Drosophila melanogaster: one gene and its partner. The protein of the gene in region 1 interacts with the protein of each later gene in a biochemical or structural test. Each region holds a gene or a part of one and is shown on either strand. Other genes may lie near its edges.

The links.
Region 2: of the proteins of fray (region 1) and Ncc69, one has a biochemical effect on the other in vitro, tested with the Drosophila melanogaster proteins (one study listed by BioGRID).

What each region holds. Positions count from the first base shown.
Region 1 is NT_033777.3:18,577,547-18,585,530, forward strand, and holds the start of fray (frayed), read left to right. Parts: upstream 1-3,669; 5' UTR 3,670-3,924; coding exon 3,925-3,958; intron 3,959-4,732; exon of another isoform or gene 4,733-4,808; intron 4,809-5,037; exon of another isoform or gene 5,038-5,159; intron 5,160-6,926; exon of another isoform or gene 6,927-7,040; intron 7,041-7,984.
Region 2 is NT_037436.4:12,387,212-12,395,104, reverse strand, and holds the start of Ncc69 (sodium chloride cotransporter 69), read left to right. Parts: upstream 1-3,660; 5' UTR 3,661-3,782; exon of another isoform or gene 3,783-4,608; intron 4,609-7,275; exon of another isoform or gene 7,276-7,452; intron 7,453-7,893. Other genes in the region: CG32104 (uncharacterized protein), read left to right, coding at 1-63, 365-503, 584-996, 1,063-1,236.

The DNA of each region.
Region 1 (7,984 bases):
TCTTTTCATTTTTTTTTTAGGTTTTAAGAGGAGAACTGGTAAGTTCATACTGTGAACCTAACTTTTTATATAGTAGATCCATAAAATTAAACTAGAATGGCAAGCATTAACTGGCTTCTTAGATAAAAGTGCAACTAGAAGATTTATTTATTAAAGATAGTTAGTTTTTGGTTTGTTTGTTGTATGCATTAAGGTTTAGCGTGATTTACAAATATTTTAGTTTCACAACAATTAGTCATCGTAATGGGGATTTCATAATAAAGTCATTAAGAAAGCACGCTGCTATAGAAGTTCGTCTCGTTCGGCAGACGAAACGCATTAAAGCGAAATGCAATCGGCGACTGTGAAATCTAAATGGTGATCTAAAATCGAATTTAAATTGATATAGGTAGAAGGCACAGTGGGGTTTTTTCGGGGCTTTTGGGGGTGGGGAATCAATCCGGTGGATCACGTTCTGCTCGGCGCTAATCGCTCAATTTGCCTCACTGCTAGCACGCGGAAATGTGTGGGAGGGCATTCGAAAGCGTTTCAGTCGCAAAAAAAAAAGACGGTGACATGCACTGGGAAAAATGGTAATTGAATTGCATAACATGGTCATTCCATGAAAGCTACATCATTCACATGTTAAATAATATTACGCCTTGAAAGTAACTAGTCCATCTAGTTACTCGCCACTCGTTCTAATCGAACGAGCACAGCTAGTTTACTCTTGTGAAGCACTTCGTTACTACTTGGAATGCTGCCGTGTGAGTGTGATATTGCTGCATATATTTCTGCATTTCCTATAGAGTAATCATTGAAAATAATTCAAAATATCATTTGCCAGTGCATTGAATGCGGGCACAGTGAGGCAATGCTAATTAAATTTCGCTAGTCGGGGCACGGCGCCCTCAGTCTTAATTTGTTTGCATGCTCGGTCGAGCGGAAAAACAACAACAAATTGGCATAATGATCTTGTACGATCAGCGGAAACATGATGATGATCACCAGCATCGCCACGATCTGAACTGAACTGACTGACTGACATGCGGACTTGTTCCTCCTCCGTCGTTCGCTCGTTCGTTCAATTGCTATTTTGACTTTGAACTTGCGTCGCTCTGTAATTTACAATTTCTGCACCAAAGGAGAAGGCTTGCCCCAATCCGCACTATAGTACAATCCCGTACACCATTTCCTACCCACTCATGTGACGTTCAGAGATTTAAATTTAGCCACAATGACCACCAGGGAAAGAACGAAACTATCACTGGGCTCCACGCTTAATATGGAACGAAATTTCAATTGCGATTGCTATTTTTAGGCATTGTCAACGCGCCGTCTCGGCTTTACGATTTATGTACATATATCTCTCATCTTTTGCATATCGAGGGGCGGCAACATTAAGCCCCGCGATTGTGCGACTTGTGGCAAGGTTACTTCATATGAGATCTCCATACTGAACTAGGTACACAAGCAATTCCAACTTCAACTTATTGATTTTGAAACAAGAAGGCTTAATTCTTAATTGCTTGAATTGATGTTGGGTTGTCTTTACAAAATTTCTCAAAAGATCGCTGCACATTTTTGACACGCTTAATTTGTTTTTTATTTAAACAAAACCTTGCTGTCTCTGGCAATAAAACAAAAGAGCAATTAACGCGGCTCATTTAGTTTTAGTTTTGAATAATAATGCGCGACAATTATGTTTGTCATATGACTTCCGAATACATTAACTTCCTGCATTTGCGCAGCTTTTTGAACTCAATGAACTGAAATACCCTCGAGCTCGACAAAATGTTTTGCGTACAAGAATATTGATTTATTTACTGCTGTTTTTTTATTTTTAATTTCTTGCGAAAAAATGACTTGCGAGTGCAAAAGTCCCAAACGTCCTTGCCTTGAGAAATCGACCGACTGAGCAGAAATCACATGAGATGTTGACCAGCAAATTGAACCGAGCATGTGAGCATTGATTTCGCTGATGGGCGATGGCACATGGCACATATTTTGAATTTTTTTTAAGAAATATACTATGCGCATTTGTTTATACAAATGTATAGAGTTTCACGAACAACGCGTCGATCTGCAATATACTTTTAAAAATATATCTTTCATGGGATTTTATAGTATTAGACTTTTTAAAGCAAGTTTGTTCATTAAATGTATCTCGATTGCTTAGAAAACATTTTACTAGTACAAGACTATAAAGAAAATATGCATTTTAATAATATTTTTCTATAGCTGGTTGTATACAAATATACAAAAGTATATCCACTGTAGTTTTTAGTATACTAAATAGGTTCGTTTCGGTTCATTCATCATAGCTGGCCCCCAGCTCGTGGTCATTAATGAGTTTTCCTCATTTTGATGTCACCGACGTCACGCAAGTGAAAAATTTCACAGAGTTTATGACCAACGCCTAGTATTAGTATTGTGAGTAGTATATCTACATATGTATGTAGAAAGCGAAATATTTGGGGCTCAGGAATATGGGGTTCAACCTTTGGCCCACCCACACACGTGTCGAATGGCATTGGGCGCTAATTAAATCGCTGGTTTTTTCGGCTTCTTTTTTTTTTGCGCTCTTCGAGTGTCAAAACTTTTTGAGGGCGTTCGATCACTTGACTCGAATCGCCGGTGCGCATAAAAAGTAACCCAGCGTACAATTATAGATATATTTACGATTTTGCACAGCCTGACAGATTTCACACATTTCGATACACAAGCTCTGTTGGCTTGGATACAACAAATTCCCTTGTTAAAAATAAGATTAAAGCAAAAAGTAGGAAAATAAGGCAGCACACTTTGACTATAAACAAGAATTTAAAAATACACATCCCATAAGCCGTATGCAAATTGCTAAAATAATAATAACATCAAACTTGCGCATGTCTTTGTCGATGAAGAAGAATTACCTGGGTACAGTGCTGCTAAAAACCAGGGTAAACATGGTTGAAAGACGTCTATAAGAAAAGAGAGGTCTTACCAAAGACAGTCCTCTTGAGGATAGAAAGAGATACGTTGTATCTCCAAGATATGAAGAATCTACATTTATAGATCTATGAATATCCTAGTACTTACTTGTAAAAAGCAACTTTTACTCACAATTCGCGACACAAGGACTTCCTGTTAATTATAAAAGTTGGTGATATGTTGTTTTTCTATTTCGTATCAAACGAAATTTGTAGAACCCGCTAGAACGGAACTAGGAACAATTGCCTATGCAAATTCCCGAAAATCCCCTGCCGAAGGTATTTAAATTTTAAGTGGAAGCCAAGGCAATCACTCATGCATGTTAGTTATCAGCTGGGCTTTGGCCATAAAGCCCGGCAAATCCGAGCTTACGTCAACCGACATACGTAGATACATAGATACACCTGGTGTTACAGATACAGATAGAGATACAAAGACACCGATGGGGATACAGAGGCGGATACTAACTACTACTAACTAACGCCAACGCGCGTTGATGGAGGCGGCAAAATTTCGCACATTTCGTACGTTTATTTCGTCGATCGGCAACGGCGTTTTTACTATAGTATATAGTATCGCCTGTCGTCGTGTTCCGCCATTTGTAGAGCTCATTTAATTTTATTGTTGTTTATTGCTAAACGAAACGAAAGCAATGGATGGAAAGGGGAGGGGGTGGAAAAAACAGTTCATTTTAAATGTTTGATTACAACGATTTGTGAAGTTCAGTCGAATTTGTGATTTTCGCGCTGGAGGAGCGGCCCATTCAGCGATCGCGAGCAATGCGATTTGGCGAACTGCAATCGGATCGAATCCCAATCGCAGTTCCGTTGATAACTCAACTCAGTCATTCTCGAGTGTCGCGTGTGATCGAATCTACATCTGTGGCTAAAGATCTTGGCTTAAAAGCAATTTACAGCCAGAACTAAAATCATTTCAGAACTTGAGAAAAAAAAATAGTGACAACCAGACAAAATGCAGTTGCTGAATTTAGTGTGCCTCAAGCAAAGTGGGTTGAAATTTTTGAAAAATCCAACTATATAAATCACGATTACGACACTCAACTTTTCAGCAAATCACAAGCACAAACTAATTTGAAATTCATGTTATCGCCGAAAGTTATTTTCCACATTTGTCATTTATAATCCAAAAATACTGTATGTGCGTGTATTCACGTATCCTTATGCAAATAGCTAAATAAATGATACCTATTTGATAGATAGGAGTGTGAATTTTAAATGCGAATTTGGCAAACCAACTTAAATTGCCAAAACTGAATTCGGTCAGGGGAATCCCCGTTATACTGCTTGTGATTTATATCCAGTCGGGTTCGGGATAATTAAATAATTATTAAAAAATAATTGCCACAAAAAGCTTATAAACATGTCACAACGAAATTTATAATTTACTCAGCAAAAACGACTTTATTAGGATTTATTTGGCTTCCAAAGCAAAAACACTTACTGAGCAAAGAGAGTTGAGGATTCACAAAATACATAGATCAGGGGATTTTCCAAATTTTGTCAGTATATGCAGTATTATAGTATATCCTGTGAAAAGTTCTTAAATTTGTTGATCATTTGGAACCAACAGCGAGAACCAAAACACGAAAAGATCGAAATGAGTATGCGCTATATGAATTCATCAATGCCAGTACAAATACTATATTCCCAAATCAGAACAGCAACTAAATGCAAAAACCAGGAATCAATTACTCTTCTTCCACATGACGTGCTGAAAAGTCGCTGGCATCGGCCAAATTAAAAATCTAATCTAAACAAACAGTCACTTTGGGCACTTGGCACGGCTCAGTACTCATAGCCGCGCACTCATCTACTCAACTAACGGATACATACATAGTATAGATATAGTATCTAGTCATTTGTATTTCATTCTTGCGCGCGATTGCAGTGCGAACTGTGTCAACAATTAATGCGAAGCGATATTGCAACTGCAATTCAAAGTTCAAGCAACTCGTTAATGTGTCAATATTGAAATTACAAATGTCGTTAAATTCATTTCCATCGAGACGTTTTATAAATACACTCACGTGTATTTTTGTAATTTATCTGATTCTTCTATATTAAGGCTGTCGCATATTTGCAAAACGCAACAGAGTGCAATAAACGGAAAATGTGTTAAGCGAATGAGATATTTATGCGTATTCATTTACCTGAGCTAATGAGAGGATCCATTAGCTGGATTGTGAGGTGATTAGGTAACTGAATCACGCTGATTCTTAAATTGCCAACTTTAGTACACCTAAATTATAATTATATGTGTGGAAAATTTCGTTAATTGTTTTGAATGAAACAATTTATAGTTAATTACTACCATTAACAGAAGTAACACAAGCTATACGAAAACTCAATTGAAAATCGCAGTATTACATTAAATTTATTTAAAAAATAAAAGAGTTACCAAATACTTTACCAATGCTCAGAGCCACTCTAAGTATTACCAAACAACTTTGAATGTGGTAACCAAACCTTTTGCAAATTCTTGAACACAATTTTGTTTAAGATTAGAATAGAGTATATTTCGAATCTTTCTCTTGAGCTGCTTTCCATTTTCCGATCCATTTGGATTCATACGCACCCAAAAACCTGCCTCTTTCCGCACGGCGAGACACTTTGCCATGGCCGAACTGCATTGGAAATTATATGCAAATAGCCAACGAGACGGAGACGTTCTAAAAATAAATAGACCACGCAAAAATCAGTATCAGTATTGTGTGTGTGCGCGCGCGAATATCTTATTTTTATAAGTCTTCAGTCTTCGTTCTTCGACCATGGCGCATTTTTATGCAGAGCAGAACAGAATTTAGCGCTATGGCCAAATGCAAACTGACGATCCCATAATCAACCTATAGATACATTTGTATCTATCTAGATGTCCGCCTGGGTTTTATGGATGGGCTGTTGTGGATGCAATTTATGAATTTTCCATGATGACTGTGCGGGCTTCCCCCCACAAATTAACCCCCTTTCCAGTATGTTAACCCAGTTATCTTGCCCAGCAAGATAACGGAATGGAAAAAGAGTAAAAGCGAGAGAGAGTGAGATACTGGATTCCACTTTTGTATCTGGGTGCGGTATGGAAAGCACATACATATGTCTGCTGTATCTATGCTCCACTTTTTGGGACTCTGGGTCTTTATTGTTGCTAATTGTTCTCGCTTGTTGTTATTATTGCCGCTGGAAACTTTTTAACTTATCGTGCGCGTCAGAGCTGATAAAATCCGAGTACACGAGGCGCAGGGAAAATTGGTGGGGGCAAACAAAAGAAAAACCTTACAAATTGTGCAATTGCCAGTGGGTCAGCATCGCCTAAACATCGTGCAAATAACATGGAATGTAGAAAAAAGTAGTTTCTATATTTTTGAACTATTATTCCAATTTATTTTTACCAGAAACAAAATTGAGGTTCATATTTAGCATTTTGAAATTACAGTTTTTATTCAATTTTTTTTTTTATCGAAACAATTTTTTATCGCTAATAACAGATAGTTTTCATCTATGACGCCCACTGTGCGGCTCTTAACCCGCTCTCACTGGCGCTCTCTACCTCTCTGCTTCCTCATTCTCAACCAGCACCCCCGCCCCACCGCCCTTCTTTTCTGTTGTTGATATTTACTCAATAAATTTATTTTTGTATATTTCTAGTTTCAGCTTTCCACACTAGCATAATACCCTTCAGTCGTTTGGCTTATGCATATTTCAAAGTACTAACCCCCATATTCGTGGAGATCTTGATTTAAGAATCTATATAAGACATTTAAATCCGCAGAATTCTGGAAAGCAAAGCTTTAAGACGAAATTATTTAGTGGTAGGGTATCCGATGCTCGCATAATACAACTTTCTGTGCTTTTCTCTCATATTCATGTTGTTTTTGCCACAAGCCGTTGTTACGACGTCGACGTCGCCTGCGCTGCTATTGGCTTTGCCATTGCGTTTGTTGTTCTGCTTTTGTGCGCTCATTTGTTGCGCGGCTTTTGAAGCGATCGCTACGCCGAAAAAACGACACTAGTCGCAGTCGCGCCGGCGTGTGGAGCAGAATACAAAAAAAAAGTAGCAGCAACGAGAATCGTGTAATTATTTCTTCAGCATTTGGCGTAAATTGTTTTGATTTCCTTGCCGAGAAATCAATAAAGCCCTAAATGAAAATTTATTGAACTTCCAAACGTGTGCGTGTGTGTGTGTGTGTGTAAAGTCGTGTGACAATGCTTATCAGTTGCACATGATCGTGTGTCTCTCCCGCGTTCTCTTCTCTCTCTCTCTTTCTCCAACTACTCTTGGTATTGATTAATTGTGAAATTTGTCTGCATAAATAAAATCATTTACTCACACTTTCCAGTTAAATTCATATTTGTCATTGATTTAAGCTTAAATTTGAGTTTTGTTTAAACGCTTTTTGTTTAGATCTTCATAGTTTTCTGTTTTTGTTTTGAGTTTTTGACTTGTCATCGAGTTTTCAAATTCCAAAATCGACGTTTTGTTTTAAATCTTCAATCACTGTCATAAGAAAAGTATTCAAGTGTATCTGTGAAAATTAGCTTAACTTAGCTTTCTCTTCTACCATTTTAAAATGGTTTTCTGCTTAAATTAGCTTTCTTAATTTTATTTTTGGTTGCCAAGTGTTTTTAAAGGCCATTTCCTGTCTCCCCCCGCTTCGCATTTTGTTTGTTGTGTAAACATTTAGATATTTTTTGTTTTCCTGCGGCGTTATTCTTTATTTGAATTGGCCTAAGTGTTAAATTGCGAAATTCGCCAAGTATGTTGTTGGTCCAAAAAGTTAGTTGGTTTAATTAAGTGGCACATGACACGTCCGATAACTGGAAACGCGTTTTCTTTATCGCTGCTGTCACAGTTATCGAATTGCTCTTGTTCTTCTTACCGTTTTTAACCGCAAGCTTATCGTGTTCGGGTTTTTCGATGTAATCAAAATGAAGGAGGCAAATAAAGGAAAGCTGAAATTGTAAACATTTAGTTGAAAACTTAATTACAATTTCCACACACATTATCTTTGTTGTAT
Region 2 (7,893 bases), on another chromosome or scaffold:
GAATCTAGTCTGAAACTGCTGCAGCAATCGTGTCTGGAGATGGTGTATCCTCACATTATAGCTGTAAGTAATTTTATCCTCAATTGAAGTCTTATAATTATAGCATTATATATTCCTGGCACCTTGCTCGATTGACGGAAAATTTAATTTACGGTATCTACTAGGAAGCACTTCACGTAATAAATTAAAGTAAAATAGAAAACAAACCACAAGCATAAACAGACTCAGGAGTAGAATTAAGTAAAAAAATAACAGACTTATGAAATCGATTGGCTTGCAATTTAAATTTTCCAGCTCAGAGCCGCCGTCATACAATGGCACATGTTCAATGCATATTTATTGATTTTTTGACTTCTTCTACCAGGACAACTCAGAGCCGTCGCTGTCCTTGAGCTACACACAAGCGCCCATCTTGCCCACGGACTGGCCCTTCTTTCAGCTCCGGGTTATCCTCAGCAATTACTTGCAAAATGTGCAGCAGCGTCCAGCGGCTATACACTCAGGTGAGGATGCTTACTTCAAACTTTGCTTTCCTTGGGGATAAATCATGTTTTCTTTTTTTTTTCTTCCTTCTATTGAACAGAAAACCAGGTGGTGCTCATGACGTTGACTTTCGTTCGGCAGTTGGAACGAGAGGGACTGCAGATTGTTAGCCCGCTGGAAAAGCTTATGTATCTGATGATTGCCTTCATGGGCCCGGACTCACAGTTCCTGGCTCCGGATTTGCATGAGCTGCTTCGTGATTGCCTGATGGATTTCTACAGGGAGAATGCAGCCCATGAATTTGACTTTGATGCAGAACTTGTGGATAAGGCGAGATTTGAACCGCTTTACTACCTGTTTGTCGAACACTTTGAGGCGGCCAGCTATGGTGATGAACTGTTTAGTTCTCTGGTGCTGGTGCCTCTGGCACAGAAATATGATAATAAGTGGCGAAGGCGTCTTTGGTCGGAGCATGTTCAGGCTGTGCGTTTCATAAACTGTGATGAATCTATGGTAAGTGCAAAAGGCATTAATTTGAAATGAGTGTGAACTATATATGGTTTGATTTTCCTTCTGCAGCTAATGGGAGGGCTCTTTGCGTATTTGGAGCCCGTGGAGGAGGAGCCTTCGTTGGTGAAGCTGTACGGTGATGCATTGGCACAAAAGATGGTTCGTCCTGGAAGCATTGCCTATCGGATAGCCCAGCACCACTTTAACCACTCGAAGTCGGTGCACAAAGCCACATTGTTTTGATAATCTGAACATTAATAGTTGATAATAGCTCTTCACGAGACTGCGATAAACGTACTTAATTTCGGAATCCAAAGTCGTTTTCATGTGACAATACTCTATTTATAAGGCAAGCTGATTTGGTTTTATCTGCTCCCTGTTTCAAGTGCTACCTCGCAGTTACTTTGAGTTAAGTCCATCGAACTGTTGGGTAAATTTGTGTATTTAGCATATACCTCCTCTCGTACATTATATATTTTTCTAGCTTAAGAGATAGTTCCAGTTGAATGCATAGCAAATTACTGGAAATTCCACAGCAGGCTGGTCGTTTATCATATATTGCACTGCACTTTGGTTAAGGCAAATAATTACATTTTCGGATAGAGAACTCTTAGGTTGTGTAACCGGGCTTTTTGGGCTAATTGCGATGGGCCAACGAAAACTGCGTGTGACAGGCCAACGGTTGCAGGGCATTTTGCTATCGCACTCAATTAATTAACATCGTTTGACTTATTGACACATGGGCCACGACAACTTGCCTCCTCCTTGCGGCTTCGCAGTCGTAAGCTTTGACGGCTGATAAAATGTATGTAATTAAAATGAACACAATTGGAGGGGCCAGTGCTAATTAAATCATTTGATCTAAGTACTCGTGCATGTTGGTTTTTCTCCATTTTCCTAAGTACATATGTATGTATATGACTTGGCGAATGACTTGTCACGGGGCTTTCGTTTGACACATGGCGTATGCGCAACATTGGGCCACATAATTCAACTTTCGCATGATTTACCCCCATCAAAATCGAAGAATTCAGCACCGCGAGGCGATGGTCTATGAGTGTTTATGTGATAATTGGCTTTAAATGGCTGCTAATTATTTTATAACTGCTGGGTGTTAGCGCGCTCCGTAAATGTTTGCACAGACCTCATAAATTTAAGCAACGCTAATCTGTTAAGTCAACTGAAATTAAATTTCGATCGAATCGTCTATTAATAGCCAGTTCAAACTTGATTGCCACTTGAAAATGATATGGAAAGGGGTGCATAGATACACGATTTCCAAGCTAATTGCATTGCTATCGCCGACTCCTTGAAAATTAATTACTTCTTTATTGGTAAAGAATTGCTATTTTGCTTATAATGGTTTTTAAACCAAAATTGTGTGCGTTGCTGTATGACACAACTTTTTAAACTTTCGAGAGGATTCTAGAGCACTTTTATGTTTATATGTAGATATTTTTGAAAATAACTTTTTCAAATGGCGCTTGCCTTGCACCACAAAATCAATAAAATGGGCCAATGGTTTTTGTGATACGGAGCCAAGGGCCCGCAGAGTTACATTTGCCCACTTGGCGGTTTTGTCGGCCGAATTCCCAGATATTTGTTTACGTTCGTCGGTATCCGGAGTCGCCCCTTATCTCTGATAAAAACATTCGAAACGGTAGATAGCGAGCTCCCAATTATTGGAGGCACTCGATATGACTGGGCTCTCGCCGGCTAATGAAAACCTATGGGGCACAGTTGGTGTTCATTGCGTCCAAATATTTGCATTGCATGCACTTGACCAAGAAACCGGTTCTGATTGCTGCCTGCCTCTTGGGAAACCCCCAATTGTCAGCGGGTTCCTTGGCAAAATATTTGCGCCCCTTCATCGCCAGCTAAGCGAAGCTGTGGAAAAAGTCATATCTGTCACTTGTGTTTGCCAGCAGCTGGTAAATATTTGAAATAAGTCGTCGCGGAAAAACAACTGTCATGTTTGAAAAATTACTTTTTGAGTTTTTCGTTCAATAGGCACTTTTCTCTTCTCCATGTTGAGATTCGAAAGTGATTCATGGCACTTTAATGTTTCTTGGTTATTTAGAAGTATAAAAAACCTTTAAAATTATGAAAAGTGGAAATTAAAAAATAAATATATAAGCACCTTAACGGAAAGTATAAGATTTTGTGTGCAACCCTCCTAAAAGTGTACTAAATTTTTTTTCTAACGGTGATTAACTTGAATTTTCACCGGTTGCAGCGTATCGAACAACTTGCTGGCCTGAGTCATCTTTCAACTCATTCAGATGGCATGCAGTTTCGGATACGGATGTTTCTAACATTCGTAAGGGTGCAAAAGCCACCACCAAGGTAACCCCAAGCCAGCTATCTGATTCACACAGAAACCAAGCCATGGCCATGGAAGCCAAACTCACTCAACACAACTTCAGTTGCGTGCGTGTGTGAAATGGAATTTTTATGCCGCACATTTGGGCAACTTGGGTTCGTTCGATCTCCCTAAATATATATTTGTATGTGTATATATACCCTATATACTATATAGCTCGTTATGCTGTCGGTTGGTTTGGTGCCTCTCGAGGCACATTTGTTTGTTCGCCGCATTCGAGCGAACGACGAAGCGAATTCGCCGCAATCGCTTCTGATATTTTGTGGCGATCGCCACCCGAGTTTGCCTCAGTCAGTCGTCGACTCTCTGAACGTGCGTTTGGATAGCTATTGCCATAGCTCCTCATCGGAATCGGAATAGGAATCGGAATCGTTTGTCGGATCAGCTGCCACGTTTTGAACTCGAAGTAAGAACAGGCAACGATCGTTTATTTTCGGTGCTGGATGTTTATTTTCGAAAACGCGCCCCTTTTAGAGGCCAGTGTTGAAGTGTTCAAGTATCTGCAAGATACCACAAGTACCTGAAAGATTAAAGCGTGTAAAAGTATCTGCAATATGCAATAGAATCTGAACGTTTGAGTATCTGCAAAGCTGAAACATATTCCAATATTTCCAAAAGATACAAAAGTATCCAAGTATCTGTCAGATACAAAGCAGAGCTTTGTACCGCATCTGCTGGCCCGCAGAGTGAACCCATCGTAGACTGCTGCTCATCCTACTGGAACACAATTAACTGGCTCGAATGAGCGTTTTGCAGTGCAAGAAAGCGAAACATCGTCTAAATTTCATATTGTGTATGCAATAAGCCTTCGCCCATCCGAAGAAGTGTGTGTGTAAAAGCCAATCAAGTGCCCTTCTGAACAAACCAAATTTGTTGTTGTTTCGGTGCAAAAGTGCTTTTGGGGAATTTGAAGTGGGTGGCTTGTGGCTAGCATTTGGATATCAGCCGTATCTCAAGTACTCCCCAGTTCGTGCTCATGGATTGCAAGCTCAAGGCAGCGTAGATAATAAAATAATTATTTGTCATACACATAAGTGAGCTTAGTTTTCGCATTCCCACACTTCGTTTTCGTATCGCACTCTTGCGGGTAAATATATGTGGTATTTACCAAAGTAAACTACATCGTGTGCGTGTTGCAGTGAGAAGTGCATTTATTGCTGCAAATTCGTAGTTCAAAGAAAAAACTTATAAATTACCTGCCAGCCAGTTGGATATTAATTTAGTGCGTTTCGGTGAGTTCGCAAAGCGGCAAATTGTATTTCATACATTTCCCTAGAATTTGACTGCGGCTTTTTTGGCCAGCTGTGTTGGCTTTGTATATACAAATTTACATAAATATGTACTTATGCACGAGTGAGCGAAGCTGGATATCTTTTGACCAGCGGCGGTGAATTTCATTTCAATAGGCTACTTTTTAAACTCTCGACTTAAAAATATCTCAGATATGCTTTCCAAGTATCCATGTTTTCAGCCTTTTTGCGAGCGATTGCCATGCACTTGAACTTGAAAGCCAGTTTACCAGTTTTTCCGGGTCCGGTCTCGTCTATCTTTGGCAAGTGCTCTCCAGTTCATCTCCAATTATCTTTGCCACTAAATGGGGTAATAAATTCACCGGTGCATTTATCTGTCTTCTTGAAATTCTATGACGACAATGTGGAAGACGCTCCACTAGAATCATTCAGTGTTCAGGATTGCGGTCAGTTGTCATTTGCTGCTGTGCACTCGCATATCTGGTTGCATATATATAGTTGCTCTTATGGTTTTGACACTAGCATATGCTATTTAAGAACTAAGAGTCAGTTTATATCTAAAAACTACACAAGAGGAATCTTATTTCTTTGATTTATAAATTTCTAATAATACTTTTCCTCTTAAAATTGCTAAAAAATGATTCTTGTAAATCATTTTCCATATTATTTCCATGTCGCTACTGATATATTAATAATGTCCAATTCATTTATAAATTCATATTTAAAGTAGTTAAATATTTATTTGAGTTTCACCACTTTGTGTTTGTGAAGCGCCATATAAAATTCCACACCATTAAACTTAAAGTGCTTGTAAAAAATGTTCATAATTTCATTACCTTTCAAGTGGCTTTTCATATACATTTTAATTCAAAAAAGAAATTCAATTATAATTGCTCTAAAAACTGCATGTTGGAGTGAGAGTGAGCACCACTCCAATGGTTTACGATTATAAACGCCCAATAGTAATCAAGCAAAAAAAAAATCCCTCAAAGAAATTAAATTCTTTTTAATTTAAATAACAATGAAATATAGGTTATTTAAAAAACTCATAAATTAAATTTATTTTAAAGCCTTAGGTAAGGTAAATACTTCGAAGTTTGATACCTGGAAATTTAAATTTTTGAATATTTAATAGTTAATCAAAATGAAAAGACCATGAAATTCAATTTTTTCGTGGACAAATAGAATACAGATCTATTAGAGTGTTTTTCAAAATATAATATTATTTTGTACTCAAATGTTGCATTACTTTTGAAGCTACTTAAGGTAAAAAGAACCCTGTAGAAACTAAATGCAGCTGCATATAATGGGCTTCCATTGCGCCTGGCAACAGAAACCCAGATCCTGGGGTTGCGCTCATTCCACCCCGAAAGACCGATCATCGATCGACATTCTTTATGGGGTAGCATTTGAAGGTCGTGGCCCATCTTCGAGTATACCAACTTAGAAAATGAACTGAATGCCATGGAGCTCAGCTGGTTTGAGCTGTCGCAGCGCATATGTGAACCGAGCACATGCCTCGATTAACTTGTCCATTTGCCAAACCATTGACACACAGACCGGCTAATGGAAATGCAACTCAAATTGTCACTGCTCCCCTTAATGATTCTCGACCGACTTTTGAGGCTGACTGGGGTGGAGCGGCTGGGGGTCGTCGGATTTGCGGCTCAACTGGCGCCAAAGCCGCCTGATCCCCAAGCTTTGCCTGTCAGCCATGGACAATAGGCACTCGGCTCCAGCACGTTGCCGCACCCAGGGGCAAAAAGTCCGGAGAAAGTCAGCCAGACTGACTGACAGATAGACGGACAACGAACCGGAGATCACAACAGAACGCAACGCACTGGCGAACAAATAAACTAATAAATCATTGACCTTGCGAACCTTGACAAAGGCGGTCGACCAGAAAGTGCACGGCATCCATTTGGTGAATAGACTGACGCGAGGCACTCAAAAGAATGGAATATATATCAGGGAAATAAAAAAAAAATATTTTAAAATTTGTGTAGAAAACAATAGAAAAATGAGGCACTTGTTCTATTGCCACTTTGGGTTATCTTCTTAAATAAGAACTCTTGCCTCTAGACTTCTTTCATCAATTCAATCAATATTTTATTCATGAGGTATTCACATATAAGCTTAAATAAGAATTTATAAACAAACTCGATTGCCCAAGAAGCATACGATGAAGACTATATATTATATATCGAAAATATACGAGCACTCTTGCGAAAATGAATACTCGATGAGCATGTTCAAGATATAAAACTGCGTACCAGAAAACAAAGGAAATATCTTGAAGATACAAAGAAAGTATCTGTACATTTATTGTGCGCTGCCATAGAATATTTTGTTTTCAATACTTTCTTATTTCTAGCTTCCGACAACTTACTTCCACAGACAACAAAGATTAAATTGAAAGTATCAGTATCTCACCGATTGTTTTATTTTGGAATTTCTCGCAGTGCACTGAGAAATTGCAGTCCACGGCGGAAATGGGAATGGAAATGTGAATGGGAACGGTATGTGAATTAGGTATGGGTATATGTGTATGCGACTGAGAATAAGAATGAGAATGATGTGCTGCCTGGGCTACGGTTGAAAATTATGCAAATCACAGCGCCAAGTCACGAAATTCCCGAGTTGCGGTGCAGTCGCCAAGTCGCCAAGTTGCCGAGTTGCCAAGTAGCCCCCGCGTTGACAATTTTCACCTTTCGCCTTTTTGTCTTTGCAGCGATTTAATGGAGATTTACGGCAATTGACGGAACGATTCATGCCGAGATAGCGATTTCGTGGGCGTGTGTCCAGCGTCCAGCGAGATACTTTTGCGTAAGAAATCCGCGAATCAAAGTGATGTGATGCCCAGTCCATCTTCCTTTCCGCAGAATGTAATTCATAAGTTGAACACGCGCACAATTAATAGGAATTAGCCATCGTGCCTCCCATTGCTGGCGGCCAGCAGTACAGAAATATCCCGTGTGCATTAGCATTATATAATTATTATTTTAGATTAGAGCCAGTTGGCTTTGATGTTGCCTGCTGGCCGGTCACTAAATGGGTTAAAATCAGAAGGGGTTCCGTCCGAAATATATTTAAATTCCATCTGCGGGACGGGAAAGAAACAATCGCTTTGTTTGGCCAGAACCGCACAGAACGGCAGAGAACAGGCCCAAACTGAACAGTGAAGAACACAAAAAGCCATGGCCAATTGGCCAGGTAAATGGTTTTGGGTTCTCCGTTTTGGTTTCACGTTCTTATTGGTTTTCGAGG